3 linked regions of the Callithrix jacchus genome follow. The protein of the gene in region 2 purifies or fractionates together with the protein of the main gene of each other region. This does not show direct contact. Links are inferred from orthologs where the notes say so. Each region holds a gene or a part of one and is shown on either strand. Other genes may lie near its edges. The genes, in order: protein POLR1D, POLR3D and POLR2H.

Region 1 (6,019 bases), on a different chromosome or scaffold from region 2:
AAGCTTTCCAATTTCAGTAATTGGCCCTAAAGCTAGGGAGTAGCCATCTTTCTGATTCATCTTCCATTCAATTCCTGAGGTGTACCAATTCTTTGACAATTCTAAAATATACCTCACACCTACCTTCTCTTCTCCATCATTAGCTTCCATCCTTCCAGGTAGGTCACTTCAACTCTTTACAGTGTCTCTCTCTGCCTCTACTCCAGCCTCCCTAGAATTCATCTCCTCCCTACACTGTAATCAAAGTAACGAAGATGTCATTCCCACTGCACTTAAAATCCAAAATCCCTACTACCATACCTCTTCCTCCCATGGACTCGAGGACAGACCCCTCTCCTTGTCTACCGTGCTACAAACATGCAAATTTTCTTCCAATATCTTTAGTTACTCACACCACAAGTTTTCTGCTTCAGCATCTTTGCACATGCTATACCCCCAGAATTCATTTTCTCGCCCCTTTGTACACCCAGCTCTCTCCCTGTAATCTCTAGAACACCTTTCCTAACTCCCATGCCTAAAGTAGATTCCTTTCTCATGTTTTCTATCTTGACCCTACATTTGTTGCTTTCACAGAATTACAAGTTTTTAGTTTTATATATTTTTTGAGACAGATTCTCGCTGTCACCCAGGCTGGAGTATAATGGTGTGATTATGGATCACTGAAGCCTCCACCTCCTGGGTTCAAGCTGTTCTCTCACCTCAGCCTCCCAAGTAGCTGGGATTACACGCATGTGCCACCACACTTGGCTAGCTTTTTTATTTTTATTTTTGTAGAGACAGATCCTGCCTATGTTGCCTAAGCTTGTCTCGAACTCCCGGGCTCAAGTGATCCACCCACCTTGGCTTCCCAGGCGTGAGCCACCATGCTGAGCTTCACAATTTTTTTTAAAAGGGGCTCTAATTATAACACACGCTTTACGAAAACAGGACTAACTCTGTCTCATCCACAATAGCTATATATCTATCCCCAAGGCCTCGTACATACTAGTGCTCAAAAATATGGAAATATCTTTAAAGAAGTTGACTGCGTGTAAGAAATGTAGGCTCTGTGGCAGGCTAGTATTAGAGGTCAGGTTTGAGTGACTGAAAAGCTGCAAGCCATAACTAATTTCATGAATTCACAGAGTATTTACTAAGTGTCCACTACCTGTCAGGTGTTCCAGGTAACAGAATCATGCTGACCTGCAAGTTGGTATACTGGGTAGACAAGCACTACCAACAGCACAGTAAATGCCAAGGCCAGGAAACACAGGGTGTAATGAAAGCACAAAGTACCCACACTAGGCTGGGGGGCCCAACACATAAGTTTTGATTTAAGAGTATGGCAGGAGTAAGATTGCCCCAGGAAGCAGGGGTAGCATAAACAAGGCCTCAAAGCACAGAGCACTGGCGGATGGTGTATGTGTTTTCTAGAACGGTCATTTCCCCCACATGGAGTTTTCCTTCTCCTTGGCTTTACCTTTTTTCAAATAGGGCTTCTATGTTACCCTAGGCTACACCTACCTAAGGACTGAAAACGTTATCTAGTCATCCCAGTTTCCTCCTGTAACATAATCAAAAGGTCTTACCTTACTAAGATCATGACTAAACATCTATATCCCGAAATTCAAGCAGTAAACTGGTATCCTTCCTGTAAATGCCTCAAAGATGGAACCTGATACCACCTAAAACTCTCATGTAAACCCAGAATTCTTACCATTCTTTCAAATTATTTCCCACCCTTGCCCAGTCTACCAGACACAGCAAATGACATAATTCTTTAAAAGCAAAAATGTTTAGCAACAAGCCAAGTCCCCACCCTATCCTCTTCTTTTCTTAAACCAACCAAAGTCTAACTGGAGTCATGCTTTTTGTCTCTGCCCTTACCCCCACCACCCCAATTACAGACATGGATATATACTCCTTTTAATTCCCATAATCACAGTTCTTGTCTAGGCGTCTAATATTTTCAGTTTCCTCATTTTCCATGCTGGCTTAATTGAAAGAAAAAAAAGGTATCCTCGAGGACCATTTGTTTGCATGGAACACAAACCAGTCAAACTAGTTTAAATAAAAGAGGGAATTTATTAGAAGAATACAGAGGTTCTTGCAGAGATTCCAACAGCTACAAGGGGTCAACAGCTAGAATCATGCCTTTCTGAAGGACAGAGTATGCTTTGATCACAAGCTTCTAATTCTGAGTTCTGCACCATCAGGAAGAGAATATCCTAGAGGACAGTTCTCCTTGTATACTGCATAAGGGACTAGAATGTGGATTCATTTCTGCTTGCTTTTTGTTCCTTATAGTTCTTTATGCTGGCCTCAAACTTGTCAAGCACATGTTGGCAGACATTCATGAGCTCATTCAGGCCTCTCTGAAATGGCTCAACAGCTGGAAGGGCACCTCGAGTCTGAATGCGTAAATTAATTTTGCTCTCTGAAGGATGGGTCGTAGTGTAACCACAAAATTCCACTTCCGGGTTCTTCATGATCATGTAACGCAGAGAATTTCCTAGGGTATGGTCCTCCTCGTGCAATACAAATGTCACACAGTGTCTATCTGTTCCAGCTGCCTGGACCATTTCCAGGGCTGTCTTCCTCTCGCCTTCAGCCATTGAGGTCTTCAATCCAGATATTTTTCTACACACATATTTTTTATAAAAATGAGATCATACTGAATATGGTTTTGTAACTAGCTTTTTTCATTTACTATATCACATTGCAACACGTTATCAATCTACTCCAGCTACACAGAACTATTTGCCTCTCATTTTCCTGCCTCCACAAACTCTATCAATAAATATTTAATTTATTGCCTCCGGTTTTTCCATGCTCCATTTGACCATCCACACTGGCCACAAGGGGAGCTTTCTTAGAAAAACACAAACTTAAGTGTTTGCAAAAATATTCTTTGGTAGAGTCACGAGCAAGGGATAAGATTGGAATAGGATGGGTCCTGCTAGAGGATGAAAATGGGGTTGAAAGGCATAGAAATCCCGATTGCTCCAGTATAAAAATAGAGGATACAGATGATCAATGTGCAGGCCCAAAATGGAATGCAGCTTCCATTTTGCAAGAGAAGGAAACTAGGAGAATGGAAGGTCCAGGAGTCAAGCAGGAGGGAGGATAAGAGCTCAGTACACAGAGGAGTGGCTTTAGGAGCAGTCTGCACAGAGAAGGAAAGTGAGCAGTAGTTACAGGGACACAGGCATCAGTACCGTCCTCAAGGAGGCAGGGGCCCGGGGCGTGATTTTACACGCTGCTGTTCTAATGGGGGTGGGCAGTTCGGGGACTTAACTCTGGTCTCCCAACTTGTCTTCCCTCCTTGATAGCTAGCGTACCTTTCAGCCTCTCATTTAAAACACATTCATGTCTCTTCCCCCTTCTCTCTCCACGCCTCTTCCCTGCGCCCGGAGTCAGGCCGGGGCTGCCAGGCCGGGCCGCGTGCCCCTCGGCCACCCGATCCCCTTGGGCGCGGCCCGCTTCGCCCGCCTACTCCTTGGCCATTACCTCTCCAGTTCCTGGTCCTCTTCCATCGTGGAGGCGGTTTCCGGGTCCTCAGGTGGTGCTAACGTATCGGGGGCTCTGCCCCATAGCTCGAGGCGTGGAGACGAAGCAGGAAGGAAGGACCGACCGACGGAAAGCGCGGAGGACGGAAGGAGAGAGGAGGAGCCGCAGCGGCGCGGCAGGGCCCAACGGCGGGGCGGGGCATGAGGCTCCGCCCCCAATCCCCGCCCCGACTCGGGGTCGGCCGTGGCTCACCGCCCCTTGGCTCACCTGGGCGCCCCAGCGAGGCCACCCGCCGCAGGAGGGGCAGAGGGTGGGGCCAGCGCCGCTTTACCCCGAGGCCCAGACCTGCCTGCGGGAGCCCCGGGTCAGCCCTGGTACCTTTCACCAGGTGATGGCGAAGTAGCGGGGCCTTACCTGACGCCCCCAAATCACTTAACTTCACAGTGGCAAGTCCGAAATAGGCCCGACTCCCCCACTGGGGCCGTGTCGACCCAGGGTGGCCCTTCCCAGGACCTCGGCCCTCCCGGGCCTTTCGTGGGACAACAGGCTTAGGCTCTAGTCGGTCAACACACCTTGGAAAGGGGGTCATGTGCGAGATGAGTCACAACAGAACACTAGGGTTGAAGGCGGTGTTTGACCCTGGAGCTTGCAGCTGCATTCTCAACTGGGTCAAAAAAGGGCAGGAAAGAAATGTCTTTCTCTTTTGAGGGAGCGAGAGTTTGGAAGAAAACTGTTTCCCACCTCATCCTTTCTTCGGTCCTAGAATTCCTTATACCCCCGGGGCGCGTCCTCTCCCGCAGTGGACGTCCTTTTCCCTTTACCCCCCGTGGCTCCTCAAACCTCCTCACCTGCGGAACCCGCCCTCACCTTTGTTCCCAGGTGCCCAGCCCCCGCCTCGGCAACCTTTCACCGCCTGGGCTCGCTCTCCGCCCTGCTCCCTGCGTCCCGGCCCTCGCCGCACTCCCTCAGGTGGGCTTACTCGCGAATCGCCCCTTCTTCTCCCCTGGCCGCCGGCCCCGACCCTGCCCTACTCCAGCTGCCCTGTGGTCTTGCGCACCTATGTTTCTGCTTCCCTGCGCCTCCTGTTCTCCTCCCCCACCCCTCCCCGCGATTCCCCTGGATGTCCACTCCCTCCCCAGCTGTGCCATTCCTGGCGGCTGCCGAGGGTGCGCGCAGGCACCTCGCCAGCGGGGCTTCCGCAGGAGAATCAGGCGGCCGGCGGGGACAGCCAGAGGCGGGTGGGGGAGGCAGGCAGCGAGGGCGGAGTGGTCTCACTCTAACCCGGGAGTGACGGTCCCTCTTCTGGCCCGCCTCCCGAGCTCTCGGATAGGCGGGGCCGCCCTCTGGCCCACCCCCTCCCGCCCTGTGCTGCTTCCGATTGGCCCGGGTGCGGGTTGGGCCGCTTGGCCTTGGCGCTGGCCCCCGGGAAGGCAGCAGGGGCGGTTGAGAAGTGAAGTCTTGGCCGGAGTTTGTTTCTTGCCAGGAAATCCGCGGCGGCTGCGGCGGCGGAGCGGAGCCGGGCTGGTTCTCCTCTGTCTCAGCGGGCTGCGGAGAGCTGGAGCTGGTGCCGGGCAGCGGCGCCGGGAGCCGGTGAGCGGCCCGGGCAGCCGCGCTTTCCCAGTGAGTAACTTTGCCCTGCCCGCCTCGCTGCGCGCCCTCTCGCCGGCTCCGGGCAGCCGCCTCAGGTGCGGGCGTCGGCGGGGTGTGGGGCAGCACCGCGCCCCGGGAGGCGGCCGGTGCGGCGCCGCAGCTCTCCCCGGAGCTCTGGTCCTCTGCGACTGTCCTCGCTTGCTCGGGCTGCAGGGCCAGCGTGGACTCGGGTGTGGGGCTGCTCCGGGAGGGAGAGTCGGAGCCCGGTGCCCACCCCCTGCAGGCGCCCAGGAGGCGGGCGGCCTCCGGCTGTTAGCATTTGCTGGTTCCGGCCACCGTGGTGCAGATCTTGGCGTCGTTTGCTTCTTAAGGGAAGGGAGAGGTGGGGTAAGTGTTTAAATTTCCTCTGTGTGTGTGTGTGTGTGTGTGTGTGTGTGTGTGTGTGTGTGTTGTTGGCAATGAGAGTGGCACTAGCTGCCTTTATCGGGTTTTGTTCCTCTGGAAAGGGATGGGGAGAGATCATTCCCTCCGCCCCAGCCTGTTGCCTATGAATTCTCACCCTTCTCTTTAGGCTGAAGATGGTGGGAGAGAGATTTGACATCTTCCAGGGAGTAATTTAAGAATACGGATCTTGCTTTGGAAGCAGTTGCACACAAAGCATCATTCGGGAAGTACATCACTCACTTTTCAAAGCTTTATGCCACGTTTTAAACGAGGACTTTTGACTCATGTAGTGTTTCTTCTGGTATTTCAGTTTAAGTTATTAGATCCAGGCGTTCGTTTATGCCAGGAACTAAAGTACACTCATGCATGGGCCTTGCTGTACATATTATGCTTTTTAAAGGCACAGAAATCCGAAACAAAGTTGAGTGAAAAGCGGTGGCGGTGCAGGAAGAGAAACACTTGTGAGCTCCAGCTTATTGGAACTGCCTTTAAGAAT
Region 2 (6,164 bases):
GCCTCACCCAGGACCCCACCAAGAGCCCACAATATGTGTGTTTGGTTATTGTATATACACACGTTCTTAGTGTTGATGCATTTCAGCACAATCCTTTTTTTTTGTGGGTTTTTTTTTTTTGTTATTGTTTTTGTGGTTTTGAGACAGAGTCTCCCTCTGTTGCCCTGGCGGGAGCACGTGGTGAGATCTCAGTTCGCTGCAATCTCTGCCTCCCGGGTTCAAGCGATTCTTGTGCCTCAGCCTCTAGAGTAGCTGGGATTACCAGCGTGCGCCATCACGCCCAGCTATTTTTTGTATTTTTAGTAGAGATAGGATTTTGCCATGTTGGCCAGGCTGGTCTGGAACTCCTGATCTCAAGTGATCTGCCCACCTCGGCCTCCCAAAGGGCTGGGATTACAGGCGTGAGCCACCGATCCCGGCCGCACAAGCCTTGAATGCAATTTAGCAAAGTGAATGAAGAACCATAAAATATGCATGTACAAAACGGTACAGCCACTGTGGAAAACAGCTTGGCAGTTTCTTATAAAACTAAGATACAACTACCATATGACCCAATTATTGCACTCATGGGCAATTATCCCAGAGAAATAAAAACTTACGTTCACACAAAAACCCGTACGTGTATTTTCACAGCAACTTTATTCATAATAACCCCAAACGGAAAACCACCCAGATGTCTTTCAAAGGGTGAATGGCTAAACAAACCACGAATAGGCTCCAATAAAAGAGAAGGAACTATTGATACACACACAACTTGGATGATCTCTGGGGAACAATGCCGAGTGAAGAAAGCAATCCTAAGAAGTCACATACTGTACGATTCCATTTATATAACACTTTTCAAATAACGAAATGGCAGGAATCGAGAACAGACTAGTGGTGGGAGGAGGTGGGGGAGGGAGGTGTGGCTATAAAAGGGCAACTAGAGAGATCCTTGTGGTGATGGAAACTTCTCCTATCTTGACTGTAATAATGTCAATATCCTGGTGGCAAGATGTTACTATTGGGGGAAAACAGTGAACAGTACTTGGGATCTCTCTATATTGTTTCTTACAACTCTACATGAACCTACAATGTTCTCAAAATAAAAAGTTTAATTTAAAAAATGTTTTTAGAGATAGGGTCTTGCTGTGTCACCCAGGCTGGAGTGCAGGGACCAGATCATAGCTCATTGCAACCTTGAACTGCTGAGCCTTTCAAGAAATTCTCCCACCTCTGCCTTCCAAAGTACTGGGATTACAAGTGTAAGCCACGATGCCCATCCCAAAAATTTACTTAAAAAAAAAAAAAAAATGCATCTTCTTTTGGCCAGCTATCCCAGGACGGGAAATCTATCCCAGGAATATAATCCAAAAGAAAACAAACAAAAAGCACGTCGAATGTACCACATATTCACTACAACGTTATTTAAAACAGGAAAAAAAGGAACAATCAGGAAAATACTTAAATCATGATACAGCCACTGGAGAACGACACAGTCTTTGATGTGGCAACAGAGAAATGTTATTTGGAAAAGGAGGATACAGGCCAGGCGCGGTGGCTGACGCCTGTAATTCCAGCACATTGGGAGGCCAAGGTGGGTGGGATCACTTGAACTCAGGAGTTAAAGACCAGCCTGGGCAACACAGTGAAACTCCATCTCTACGAGGTGGGGGACGGGGGGAGCGGGGAAAGGCATGGTGGCATGCATCTGTAGTCCCAGCTACTCGGGAAGCTGAGGTTGGAGCATGGCTTGAGCCTGTGAGGCAGAGGGTGCCGTGAGCCGATCCTACCACTGCAGTCTGGGCAACAGAGAGAAACCTCGTCTCCCTCTTCTCCCCGCCTCCCCCCAAAAAAAACAAAAGAAAAAGGATACGAAATTGTGATAGAATATGACAACTTTGTGAAGACTACTAGATATATTACAAAATTTTTAATAGTAGTACTCTACGTGGCAATCGAATAGAAATGATTTCCTTTCCTCAAACTCCCCGTAATATTGTTACATGGTTTTTACATGGTCTGGGGGGTAACATTAAATGACACTTTTTATGTGAAATCACAAACATCGGAGTCAATCGAAGTTTTTCAAATTCCAACAGTAGAGCAAACTTGGTATTCCGATTCCGTGCAGGCTTTCACCAAGAGCGCACATGAGGGCCACCGCCGTCGTGAGCCCAAGGCGGTTGTGACTGGGTACCGGTTGGTCCATTGCGGCTGTTCCAACGCTGCCCCCCACAGCCTCACCCCTGAACCCCCCCAGGAGCACAGGGAAGGGGGTCCTCAAAAGTGGGCGAGGCCGCTGCCCGCAGGAACTGTCCACTTCAAGGTCACCATGGAGAACCCGAGACGGGGCTCGGCGTGGCCCAGGACTCCCCAACTTTGAGTTCAAGTCTCGCTCTCTGCGCCGCGCCCCTCGCCCCATCCCGAGCAGCGACCCCAAAGCTCCCAGGGGCTCCGCCGCGGCGATTCCTCACATTGCGCGTGGCGGCCAACAAGGCCCAGGAGCCTGAATTCGGCGCCTCCACACCCCCGCCCGAGGCCTAAGACCCCCGAACGCCACGTCACAGCGTAGCCCAGAACAGTAGTCCCCTTATTCTTTTTCGCCCTCTCAACCCAGCTTTTCCCGACTCCGGGAAGAACCGGGAAGAGAAGGCGGAGGGGAGCGAAGCGCCGCCTAATAAATACTGTGGCTCAGTCCCGCCCCCAGAACATCACTTCCGCCCCGCGCCAACATGGCGGCGCCCAGACCATGCCACGCAGACTTCCGTTCGGCGCGGAGACCGAAGGCTAGCTGCAGGTCGCGTCTCTGGTGAAGTCGTGAGCGTGGTGTGGGGCCGCGGTCCGGGTGAGTCCCTGCCTGGTTCTTGGGCGGGGGTCCTGGAGACAGGGCGTGTCACGAGGGCTCTCACCTGGGTGGTCTGGGGAGTCTTGCCACGTGGGAGGGGAGGAGCAGAGACGCCACTGGAGGACGCGCTGAGTGGGGAACCGGAAGCCAAGTGGGTGGGGTTCCGCAAGGGTCCGCGTGTCAATCCCCTCTGGTCATCTCGTTGTCCCTTCTTTGCCAGGCAACATGTCGGAAGGAAACGCCGCCGGCGAGCCCAGCACTCCGGGAGGGCCCCGACCCCTCCTGACCGGGGCTCGGGGGCTCATCGGGCGGCGGCCGGCGCCCCCCCTCACTCCCGGCCGCCTTCCCTCCATCCGTTCCAGGGACCTCACCCTCGGGGGAGTCAAGAAGGTACCCAACGGCGCGTTTCTAAAGAAACTCACCTACCTTGAATTCCAAGCCGCGAGATTCAACTAATGTTCGTGTAGGGCCTACTGTGTGTCTGGAGTATTGTTCGGCCTCACGCCTACTCCTCTTTACATTCTAGGGAGCCTGTCCTACCTTCAAATCTAGGTACTGAGTACAGATGTTGAAATGATTCTCAGAGGTGGTTGAAGGATAGAGAGTCCTAATTAGTTAACGTTGTTCAAAAGCAACTTGAACAGTGTTTATTTACTTTCATTGTGTGTTTGGACATCTATAACAAGCCCATGAAAGCCAGGCAGGCATAAACCTCACAGTCTTAGAGAGTTCAGAATTCAACATCTCAGTGTGCAGACTTTTTATCTAGAGTATGATGAATCCTAGGCATAGCATTTGAGGCTCTGTGGTCTCCCATGTGCATATGATTGTGGATGTCAAGAGTAGCTCTGAAAGGGGTAGGGTCAGGATGGCAGGAGAATAAAGCAGTATTTAAAAACCTAACTTTGCGACTGGGCACCACGGCTCACGCCTGTAATCCCAGCACTTTGGGAGGCCGAGGTGGGCAGATTACCTGAGGTCAGGAGTTTGAGACCAGCCTGGCCAGTGAAACCCCTACAAAAAATACAGAAATTAGCTGGGTATGTCTCTAATAAAAATACAACAATTAGAAGTGTGGTGGCAGGTGCCTGTAATCCCAGCTACTCAGGAGACTGAGGCAGGAGAATCGCTTGAACCTGGGAGGCAGAGGCTGGAGTGAGCCGAGATCGTACCATTGCACTCCAGCCACAGTAACAAGAGTGAAACTCCCTCTCAAAAGAAAAAAAACACCTAACTTTGCCTTGGAAAATTGTGACGGTCTATAATCCCCTGATTGAGAGTGTTGGCAGATCTGTGGTCTTCCCTACTTATGTCTTGGTGCTAGAGCTGTTCTCTCATGATACTCACTGGTCTCTATAGCAGTTTGAAGATGAGAGGTGAGACTAGAGAAATTCCTTTGCTTTTAGAAGTCCCAGAGGGTATTCTTTCAGAGGCAGAACCTAAGGCTGCTGGTTAAAAATGAGGTTTGGTGCCCCTTTCTTTTATGTGTAACTCCACTGCCACCACACCATGACATTCCTTCTTTTCAGTCACATGTCTGTCTCTGTAAAGCGGACAGCACTGTGGAACGTGCCAAAGACAACCATGTTGGCCTTGGTTGGTAGACAGTGCCCTTTGGGAATTTTTTTTTTCCTCTGTACTTTGGGGTCAGGACCTAACACATCAGTGACTCCTGTATTTTGCTTTCAGAAAACCTTCACCCCAAATATCATCAGTCGGAAGATCAAAGAAGAGTAAGTAGCTAGGCCTTCTGAATACTTGCCCCTTATTTACTTTCTCTGAATATGGGGCTTTGGGGGAAGTAACTAGGTTTGTGGCTCTGACAAATTTATGTTTTTAGTTCTTTTCACTGGTGATTTTCAGTCCTTGCTTCTAGGTGATTCTGATGTGTAAGTTTAAAAAAAAAATATTGGTGTCTAGGGCTCCATCTCTAAAAATTGTGATTTAATTTGTTGGCAGTGGAATGGAGTGATTCTCTTTGATGGCCAGAGTTGAGAGCCACTAGTTTAAACAAAGATGTATCATACTTTCCTTGAAGTTCCTTTGGATTTCTGCCTTCCTGCTTTCAGTCCCAATGCAAAAAAAAAAAAAAAAATCTACATTTTTGGACAAGGTAAAGTAAAGCAAACTGAAAAAATCCTGCCTCATCAAGGAAGTGAGAAAAGTGCTAGAATTAGAACTGGATTCTGCTTCTCATAGTGTAATTATTGGCTCAGACTCTCCACTGTCTTGGAGTGAGGTGGTATGGGAGATTAAGGCCAGTTTTCGGAGACACAGTGAGTGAGTGGTTTCCCGAATCCATTCTCTTTTCCAGGCCCAAGGAAGAAGTAACTGTCAAGAAGGAGAAGCGTGAAAGGGACAGAGACCGACAGCGAGAGGGGCATGGACGAGGACGAGGCCGCCCAGAAGTGATCCAGTCCCACTCCATCTTTGAGCAGGGCCCAGCCGAAATGATGAAGAAAAAAGGTACGAAGAAGGAATCAGTAGTGAATTTGAGTTCAGACTGCCCAAGAGAAGGGCAAGAGCAGTGGAATTTCCCTGCTCCCAGTTCAGTTTTCCTTGCTGTTGGCATCTTCCTGATTGATCCCTAGTGACCCGGGTGATTTCCCACAGGAAACTGGGATAAGACAGTGGATGTGTCAGACATGGGACCTTCTCATATCATCAACATCAAAAAAGAGAAGAGAGAGACAGACGAAGAAACGAAACAGATCTTGCGCATGCTGGAGAAGGACGATGTGGGTACCTGGAGGCTTGGGGAAGGGGCTTGCTTGTGGCTGTAGAACAGGGCTTCTGGGGAGCCAGGTGAGGGGCGGAAGAGCTCACTGAGTCCTGGAATCTGGGGGAGCAGCAGGAATCTTCGGTTAGAAAGTGACTAAAGCAGACTTTTTTCCAAGTGCGTATGCTAGCAGGCTGGATGACCCCAATTCTTTTTGGCAGTTCCTCGATGACCCCGGGCTGAGGAACGACACTCGAAATATGCCTGTGCAGCTGCCGCTGGCTCACTCAGGATGGCTTTTTAAGGAAGAAAATGACGAACCAGATGTTAAATCGTGGCTGGCTGGCCCCAAGGAAGAGGACATGGAGGTGGATGTACCTGCTGTGAAAGGTACTCTGTGTCCATTAACTTCTCATCTCCAATTCCATGGCTACTCCCAGGAATCCCTGGCATCAGACATCCCTTGCATGGGGCCCTAACTGCTGCTTATGAGCAGATGCTCCCTTGCTGGCTGTAAGATACAGGAGCTAAACAAAGATGCTTGATTCTCTCTCACAGAGGGTTCACATGTTGACGTGGAGCAGTGGGCTCAGCCTCAGATGTCCTTTTTTAGTTAAG
Region 3 (5,978 bases), on a different chromosome or scaffold from region 2:
TAGAACGGTGCCAGGCGCATGCCAGGGACACAGGGAATGTCTTGGGTGGCGGAGACAGTGGCGTGGAGAAAGTTCAATGGTGTGAATGGTGCCGCGGAAGGGGCAGTGGGTGCTGAGACTCAGGCCCAGGTGATGAGGGGAGAAGCAAAGAAAACGTGTGTGTTGGGGGGTGAAGGGAAGGGCACCTGAGACAAGTACCTGGTGTCCTTGTCCTCTGTAGGCCCTCAGCCTCAGCGAGAAGCCAGCATGCATCTTTCCATCCCTTCGGCCCCGCAGCCTCGGACTTCCGAGCCTCAGTTTCCCCAGCTCAAAAGGCTGGGACGGGATTCAGATAGGCCCTCGGTCCTCGCGCTGCCGAGGGTAACCTGGAGCAGCGGTCCCGGAGCGCACTCCGCGGGCTGGGCTCGGCTTCACTTACCAGGGTCTGCTCGTACTGCAGCGCCCGCGGCTCCATCCCCTCCTCCGCTGCCGCGGCCGACGCCATCTCCCTGCACTGCCCTCTCGCCTCCCTCCGGGGCTCGGGCTCTGCCCTCTACTCGGCTTCCGGCCCGCAGAGTCAGCGCCGGCGGCCGTCCCGTCCCCGCAGCCCGGGAGACCGAGAGCAGAGTGCGGCGGGCCCGGAGCGGGCGCCGCAGGCGCAGCCTCCGGCTCCTGTCCCCTCCTCGGCGGGCGGGCCGAGGGTGGTGCCCTCTGCGCTGCTCCGCCCGCCAGCCCATCCGGAGGGGCCGGCCCAGCCAGGCCGGGGTCCGCGCGGGGCCTCCCGAGAGGCGGTAGGGGGCGCTGAGCAGTCTGGAGCCCGCGCCGGCTCCCTGCGGAGGCCGGGGAAGGAGAGGGGCGCCCGGGGCCGGGCAGGGGCGGGTCCGCGGGCACGTGGAGGGGCCGGGCCGGGTTGGCGGTTCCCTGCGTCCGGGCAGGAGGGGCTGCAGATGCCCGAGCTCCGCAGGGCTCAGGGATGGGGGTGCTGAGTGATCTACATCGGACGCCTCCGGGTCAGCCGGTTAGAAGCCGCTTCCCCTCTCCCCGTCCCAAGGGACTTGCAGCTCTGACAGGCCTGTCAGGGGTGAGCAGCAAAGCTGGGAGGATTCGGGGCGGATCGGGGCCGTCTTCCTTACTCCTTCCTTTCCCGGGGCTGCCCCAGGGAGGTGCACCCGGAGCAACCCGGCCTGCGGGGTGTGCGGGGGTGGAGGTTGGGAGGGCCCCGGAAGGGGTAGGCCGGAGGAGGGGAGCTCCACGGGCCGGGAGTCCACGCCCGGAACGCGGGCGTGGAGAGCAGAGGTCGCTTCTCCCTGGCTGGGCTCAAGGAGGAACCCGAGTCGCTGCTGCTGTCCCTCCGCTTTCGGGGAACGGTCTGCTGGTGCTCGGGGTTCTCTGTCAGGGGCCAGGGAAGGATAGAAAAGAGGGCGGAGCGCGCGCAGGGTGGACGGGCAGCTGAGCGACAGTGTGAGAGGAGCGGGGGCGGCGCCCAGGACGCGGACAGGGTGCGGGAGAGCCAGTAGTACCAGAAGGAAGGGCTATTTGGGAGGCAGAGGCGGGGCTCGGGGGGCGGGGGCAGTGCCCGGGGAGGGGGGGGGGCCCTGGGAGAGAAGCCGCCACCCAGGAGGAAGGGCCAGTGCGAGGGAAGAGCTGGTATTCAAGGGAGAGGGCAGTGCTAGGCCGAAGGGGTACGGAGGGGATCCGTGTCCAGTAAACGGGAACGCAGAGTACCAAGCTGGAGGGGGAGTGCCCAGGGGGCGGGAGCCAGGCTGAAGGGGCGGTGCGCGGGAAAACCAGGGCCTGGGGGAAGAGGGCAGTGTCGTGGGGTGCCGTATGAGGGGAGGGGACCATGCAGCCTTTCCATTTCTCCAAAGCGACGTCATGGCAAATTCCCAAACTGGACGGATCCGGCTCAGGTTACATCCAGAAGGGCCCAGCCGGCCCAGGCCGGCCCCGGCGTCCTTGGTGTCTCCTGGAGGGGCTGGGCACCTCTGGGGCGGGGTTCTTCTCCACCTGCCCTCGGCGAGGACTGTGCCCTTGGCGGGCACGAGGACCGGCGGGATAGGGCTAGGGCCTGGCCGCTCTGGGCCAAGGATCAAGGTCCCTGCCTGGGTTAGGCCCCCACGCATTCCAATCTTCTGGACTCAGACTCTGAAGAGCGCGCAGTAAAGCCCCAGCGTAGCAGAAGCCGCTCTACAGCCGCGGGAGGTTGGACCTATTGTTTCCCCGCCCTGGGCGGAGCCACCTGGCCGTGAGACCCGCCCTCAATGCCGAAGCCTCTCGGAAACAGTCTTTCGGGGAGGAAGTTAGGTAGCCCCGAGAGGAAGATTGTGGCGGAAGTGGTCGCGTTACCGCCTGTTTGTGCGCATGCGCTACTCTTGTCTAGCTGCCGCCTTTCTGGAGGTGCTTTTGCTCATCTCCCTTCTCCACGCGAGGGGGTGCGCGTACTCCCAGCCGTGGTCGCGCGTTAACCCCTTCTGCTGCTCTCCTGGCCCACTTGCGATGGCGGGCATCCTGTTTGAGGATATTTTCGATGTGAAGGATATTGACCCAGAGGGCAAGAAGTTTGACCGAGGTAAGTAAGGTACGAGGTTTGGAGGAAGACGCTAACCTCGCGGACATGTCCCTGGGCCCCATGCCCACCCAGCTCTTGTGGCCTGCTCCTACCAGCAGGTCCTGATGTAGGGACCTCCCTCAGGAAACACTTTATGAATGAGAAAACGGAGACTCAGCTCTCTGGCTTCACGCATGCCGTGCTGGGTGTCTGGATGGCCTTTTGTCATAGTGCTGGCAAACTCCTGAGCATCTTTATAATCGCTGCCTACTCTGTGCTAGACACTGTCTTGTGCGGCTCATACACCCTTTGCCTTACTTATTCTTAAGAGACCTCGGCCGGGCGCGATGACTCACGCCTGTAATCCCAGGACTTTGGGAGGCTGAGGCGGGTGGATCACTTGAGGTCAGGAGTTCGAGACCTGCCTGGCCATCATGGTGAAACCCTGTCTCTACTAAAAATACAAAAATGAGCCGGGTGTGGTGGTGGCGCGCCTGTAATCCCAGCTACTCGGTAGGCTGAGGCGGGAGAATCGCTTGAACCCAGGAGGCTAAAGTTGTGGTGAGCCAAGATCGAGCCACTACACTCCAGCCTGGGCGGCAGAGCCAGACTCCATTAAAAAAAAAAAAAAAATTATATATATATACGCTAAGCAGTTAACTAGTTAACTCTCAGAAAAGACTTCACTAAGCGCTAAAGATTCTGAGAGCGATACAAGAATATAGACTCTGAAGTTAGATTACTTGCTGTGCAGCCTTGGGTGAGTTACTCAAACTCTCAGAGAAAAACAGGGAAGGCACCACCCACCTCATGAAGACTCCTTTTTTTTTTTTTGAGATGGCGTCTCACTTTGTCACTCACACTGACTGGAGTGCAATGGTGTGATCTCGGCTTACTGCAACCTCTGCCTTCTGGATTCAAGCAATTCTCTTGCCTCAGCCTCCCAAGTAGCTGGGATTACAGGTGCCTGCCACCACACCCAGCTCGTTTTTGTATTTTTGGTAGAGATGGGGTTTCACCATGTTGGCCAGGCTGGTCTCCAACTCCTGACCTCCAGTGATCCACCTGCGTTAACCTCCCACAGTGCTGGGATGACAGGTGTGAGCCACCGCGCCTAGTCTCCATTTCTTTATTTTGTCATTGATCAATAATTTTCTCTTTGGTGTCTGTTTCTTTGCCTAGAGACTCAGATGTTTTTCAAGATGGATACCAGTCATTATACATCTTGATAACCCCCTCAGCACAGTGCCTAGCACAGAAAGAGGAAACCTTTGGATGATTCAATAACTTGCCCAGAGTCAGGTTCTCAGCCATCCAGGCAGGCCTAGAACCTGGATATTATTTGCTGCTGGAGTATCTTTAGTTGTTTTCTGGGGATTACGTTCACTTGCCACAGTTTTTCTCCTGATTTCCTCCTTGCATATCTGGGTCTGACTGAGCCTGCCTTAGAGGACATGAGAGACCAGTGGATGTAGGCTGGGTTAGATTGAGTATTCTGTTGCATACAATCCCACACTGTAGGATCTTCCCTGGGCCTGGCAATACCTCTCTTACTCTTTTTCCACTTTTCCCCAGTGTCTCGGCTACATTGTGAGAGTGAATCTTTCAAGATGGATCTCATCTTAGATGTAAACATTCAAATTTACCCTGTAGACTTGGGTAAGTATTGAACACAGACAATAATAAGAGGCTATTTGCTGCTTCAGCTATTCTTCACTCTCTGATATTGCTGTTATTTTTAGGTGACAAGTTCCGGTTGGTCATAGCTAGTACCTTGTATGAAGATGGCACCCTGGATGATGGTGAATATAACCCCACTGATGACAGGCCTTCCAGGTGAGGGAGTGGAGAAGGTGATACTTGAAATATGCCCTGAGGACTAAGTAGATAAGTGATATAGAAAGACTCTTCTGGCGGGGCACAGTGGTTCATGCCTGTAATCCCAGCACTTTGGGAGGTGGATCATGAGGTCAGGAGTTTGAGACCAGCCTGGGCAACATGGTGAAACCGCGTCTCTACTAAAATACAAAAAATTAATTGGGCATGGTGGTGGGCACCTGCATAGTCCCAGCTACTCAGGAGGCTGAGGCAGGAGAATTGCTTGAACCCAGGAAGCAGAGGTTGCAGTGAGCAGAGATTGGACCACTGAGTTCCAGGCTGGGCAACAGAACAAGACTCTGTCTCCAAAAAAAAGAAAAACGAAAGACTCTTCTTTAATTCCTAGAATAAATAATGATTAGCAGAATCTGAGTAACCTTAAGGAAATTTCTGCACTTAAGAATTCAAACAGACCAGGTACTATGGCTCACACATGTAATTCAAGCACTTTGGGAGGCTGAGTCAGGAGGATTGCTTGAGTCCAGGAGTTCAAGAGCAACCTGAGCAACATAGTGAAACCTCACTGCTACAAAAAAAAAAAAAAGCTGACCATGGTGGCATGTGCCTGTAGTTCCAGCTACCTGGGAAGCCAAGGTGGGAGGATTGCCTGAGCCAGGGAGATTGAGGCTGCAGTGAGCCACGATCATGCTACTGCACTCCAGCCTGAGCAACAGAGCAAGACCCTGTCTCAAAAAAAAAAAAAAGATAAAAAATTTCAAACAACCAGGTATTTATAACAGTGATTACATGCTTGTGAGTTGTAGCTTTTTGAAGGCTGAGAAGATGACCGCTCTGTGGGTCTTGTGTCTTGGGAGGGAGTTTGGTGTAATGGAAAGGCTTTGGCACCCCGCTCGAGTTGATTTCTGAGCTCTACCACTTACTTGCTAAGTAAGCTTGATCTCCTTCAGCCTGTTTCCTCATCAGTAAACTAGAGATGGTCCTGCCTAGCTCACAGAATTGCTGTGAGGACTAAATGGCGTCATGTTTATAATGTGCCTGTTGTTAAAATGCTGGCATCGAGTTACCAGTTACCATTTTTAAATGGCATCTTTTATATTGTTAATTACTGTTAAGAATAACTTTGCTACTCTTGCTCCATAGGGCTGACCAATTTGAGTATGTAATGTATGGGAAAGTATACAGGATTGAGGGAGACGAAACTTCTACTGAAGCGGCAACACGCCTGTAAGTTACATGATCTTGTGAGGATTGTTTTCCCCCTCCCTGTTCTGAGACTTTGAGTTATGCTTCTGCTTCCTCTGTTGGGTCCTTCTCCTTAGGCACCTCAGACATAGGTGGGAACTAGAAAGAAATGGTTATTAGAGCAGTTTCCAGTCTGAATTGTAGACTGCCCTTTGTCAGGCCCTCCTGGCCTAGTGGTCCAGAAGAGAAACTGGTCATCTCCCTGTTAAAGTATGGAGGAACCAAATGCAGCATTAAGTGATTATACTATTAGGCTGTGTGTGTGTGTGTGTGTGTGTGTCTTTTCCTTAAAATCTTATTAAAACAATATGTGCTGTTTGTAAGTAATTTGAAATGCGGAAGAGAATGTGAAGAAGAAAAAAAACCCTGT

Evidence for each region.
Region 1: the proteins of POLR3D (region 2) and protein POLR1D purify together in Homo sapiens (affinity purification with mass spectrometry; 6 studies listed by BioGRID and IntAct, counting the BioPlex papers as one, with this or other methods). This does not show direct contact. The link is inferred for Callithrix jacchus from reciprocal best matches to the Homo sapiens genes POLR3D and POLR1D.
Region 3: the proteins of POLR3D (region 2) and POLR2H purify together in Homo sapiens (affinity purification with mass spectrometry; 4 studies listed by BioGRID and IntAct, with this or other methods). This does not show direct contact. The link is inferred for Callithrix jacchus from reciprocal best matches to the Homo sapiens genes POLR3D and POLR2H.

What each region holds. Positions count from the first base shown.
Region 1 is NC_133506.1:146,816,194-146,822,212, reverse strand, and holds the start of protein POLR1D, read right to left. Parts: upstream 3,608-6,019; 5' UTR 3,516-3,607; coding exon 3,490-3,515; intron 2,620-3,489; coding exon of another isoform or gene 2,244-2,619; exon of another isoform or gene 2,045-2,243; intron 235-2,044; exon of another isoform or gene 141-234; coding exon of another isoform or gene 124-140; intron 1-123. Other genes in the region: POLR1D (DNA-directed RNA polymerases I and III subunit RPAC2), read right to left, coding at 2,244-2,619, 3,490-3,515; uncharacterized protein LOC144582762, read left to right, coding at 4,180-5,466.
Region 2 is NC_133514.1:19,238,004-19,244,167, reverse strand, and holds the start of POLR3D (DNA-directed RNA polymerase III subunit RPC4), read left to right. Parts: upstream 1-2,701; 5' UTR 2,702-2,827; intron 2,828-3,047; 5' UTR 3,048-3,052; coding exon 3,053-3,217; intron 3,218-4,516; coding exon 4,517-4,560; intron 4,561-5,141; coding exon 5,142-5,293; intron 5,294-5,440; coding exon 5,441-5,565; intron 5,566-5,767; coding exon 5,768-5,936; intron 5,937-6,164. UniProt on the Homo sapiens protein: DNA-dependent RNA polymerase catalyzes the transcription of DNA into RNA using the four ribonucleoside triphosphates as substrates.
Region 3 is NC_133516.1:13,339,528-13,345,505, forward strand, and holds the start of POLR2H (DNA-directed RNA polymerases I, II, and III subunit RPABC3), read left to right. Parts: upstream 1-2,353; 5' UTR 2,354-2,475; coding exon 2,476-2,548; intron 2,549-4,102; coding exon 4,103-4,186; intron 4,187-4,269; coding exon 4,270-4,363; intron 4,364-5,506; coding exon 5,507-5,590; intron 5,591-5,978. Other genes in the region: CLCN2 (chloride channel protein 2), read right to left, coding at 419-484. UniProt on the Homo sapiens protein: DNA-dependent RNA polymerase catalyzes the transcription of DNA into RNA using the four ribonucleoside triphosphates as substrates.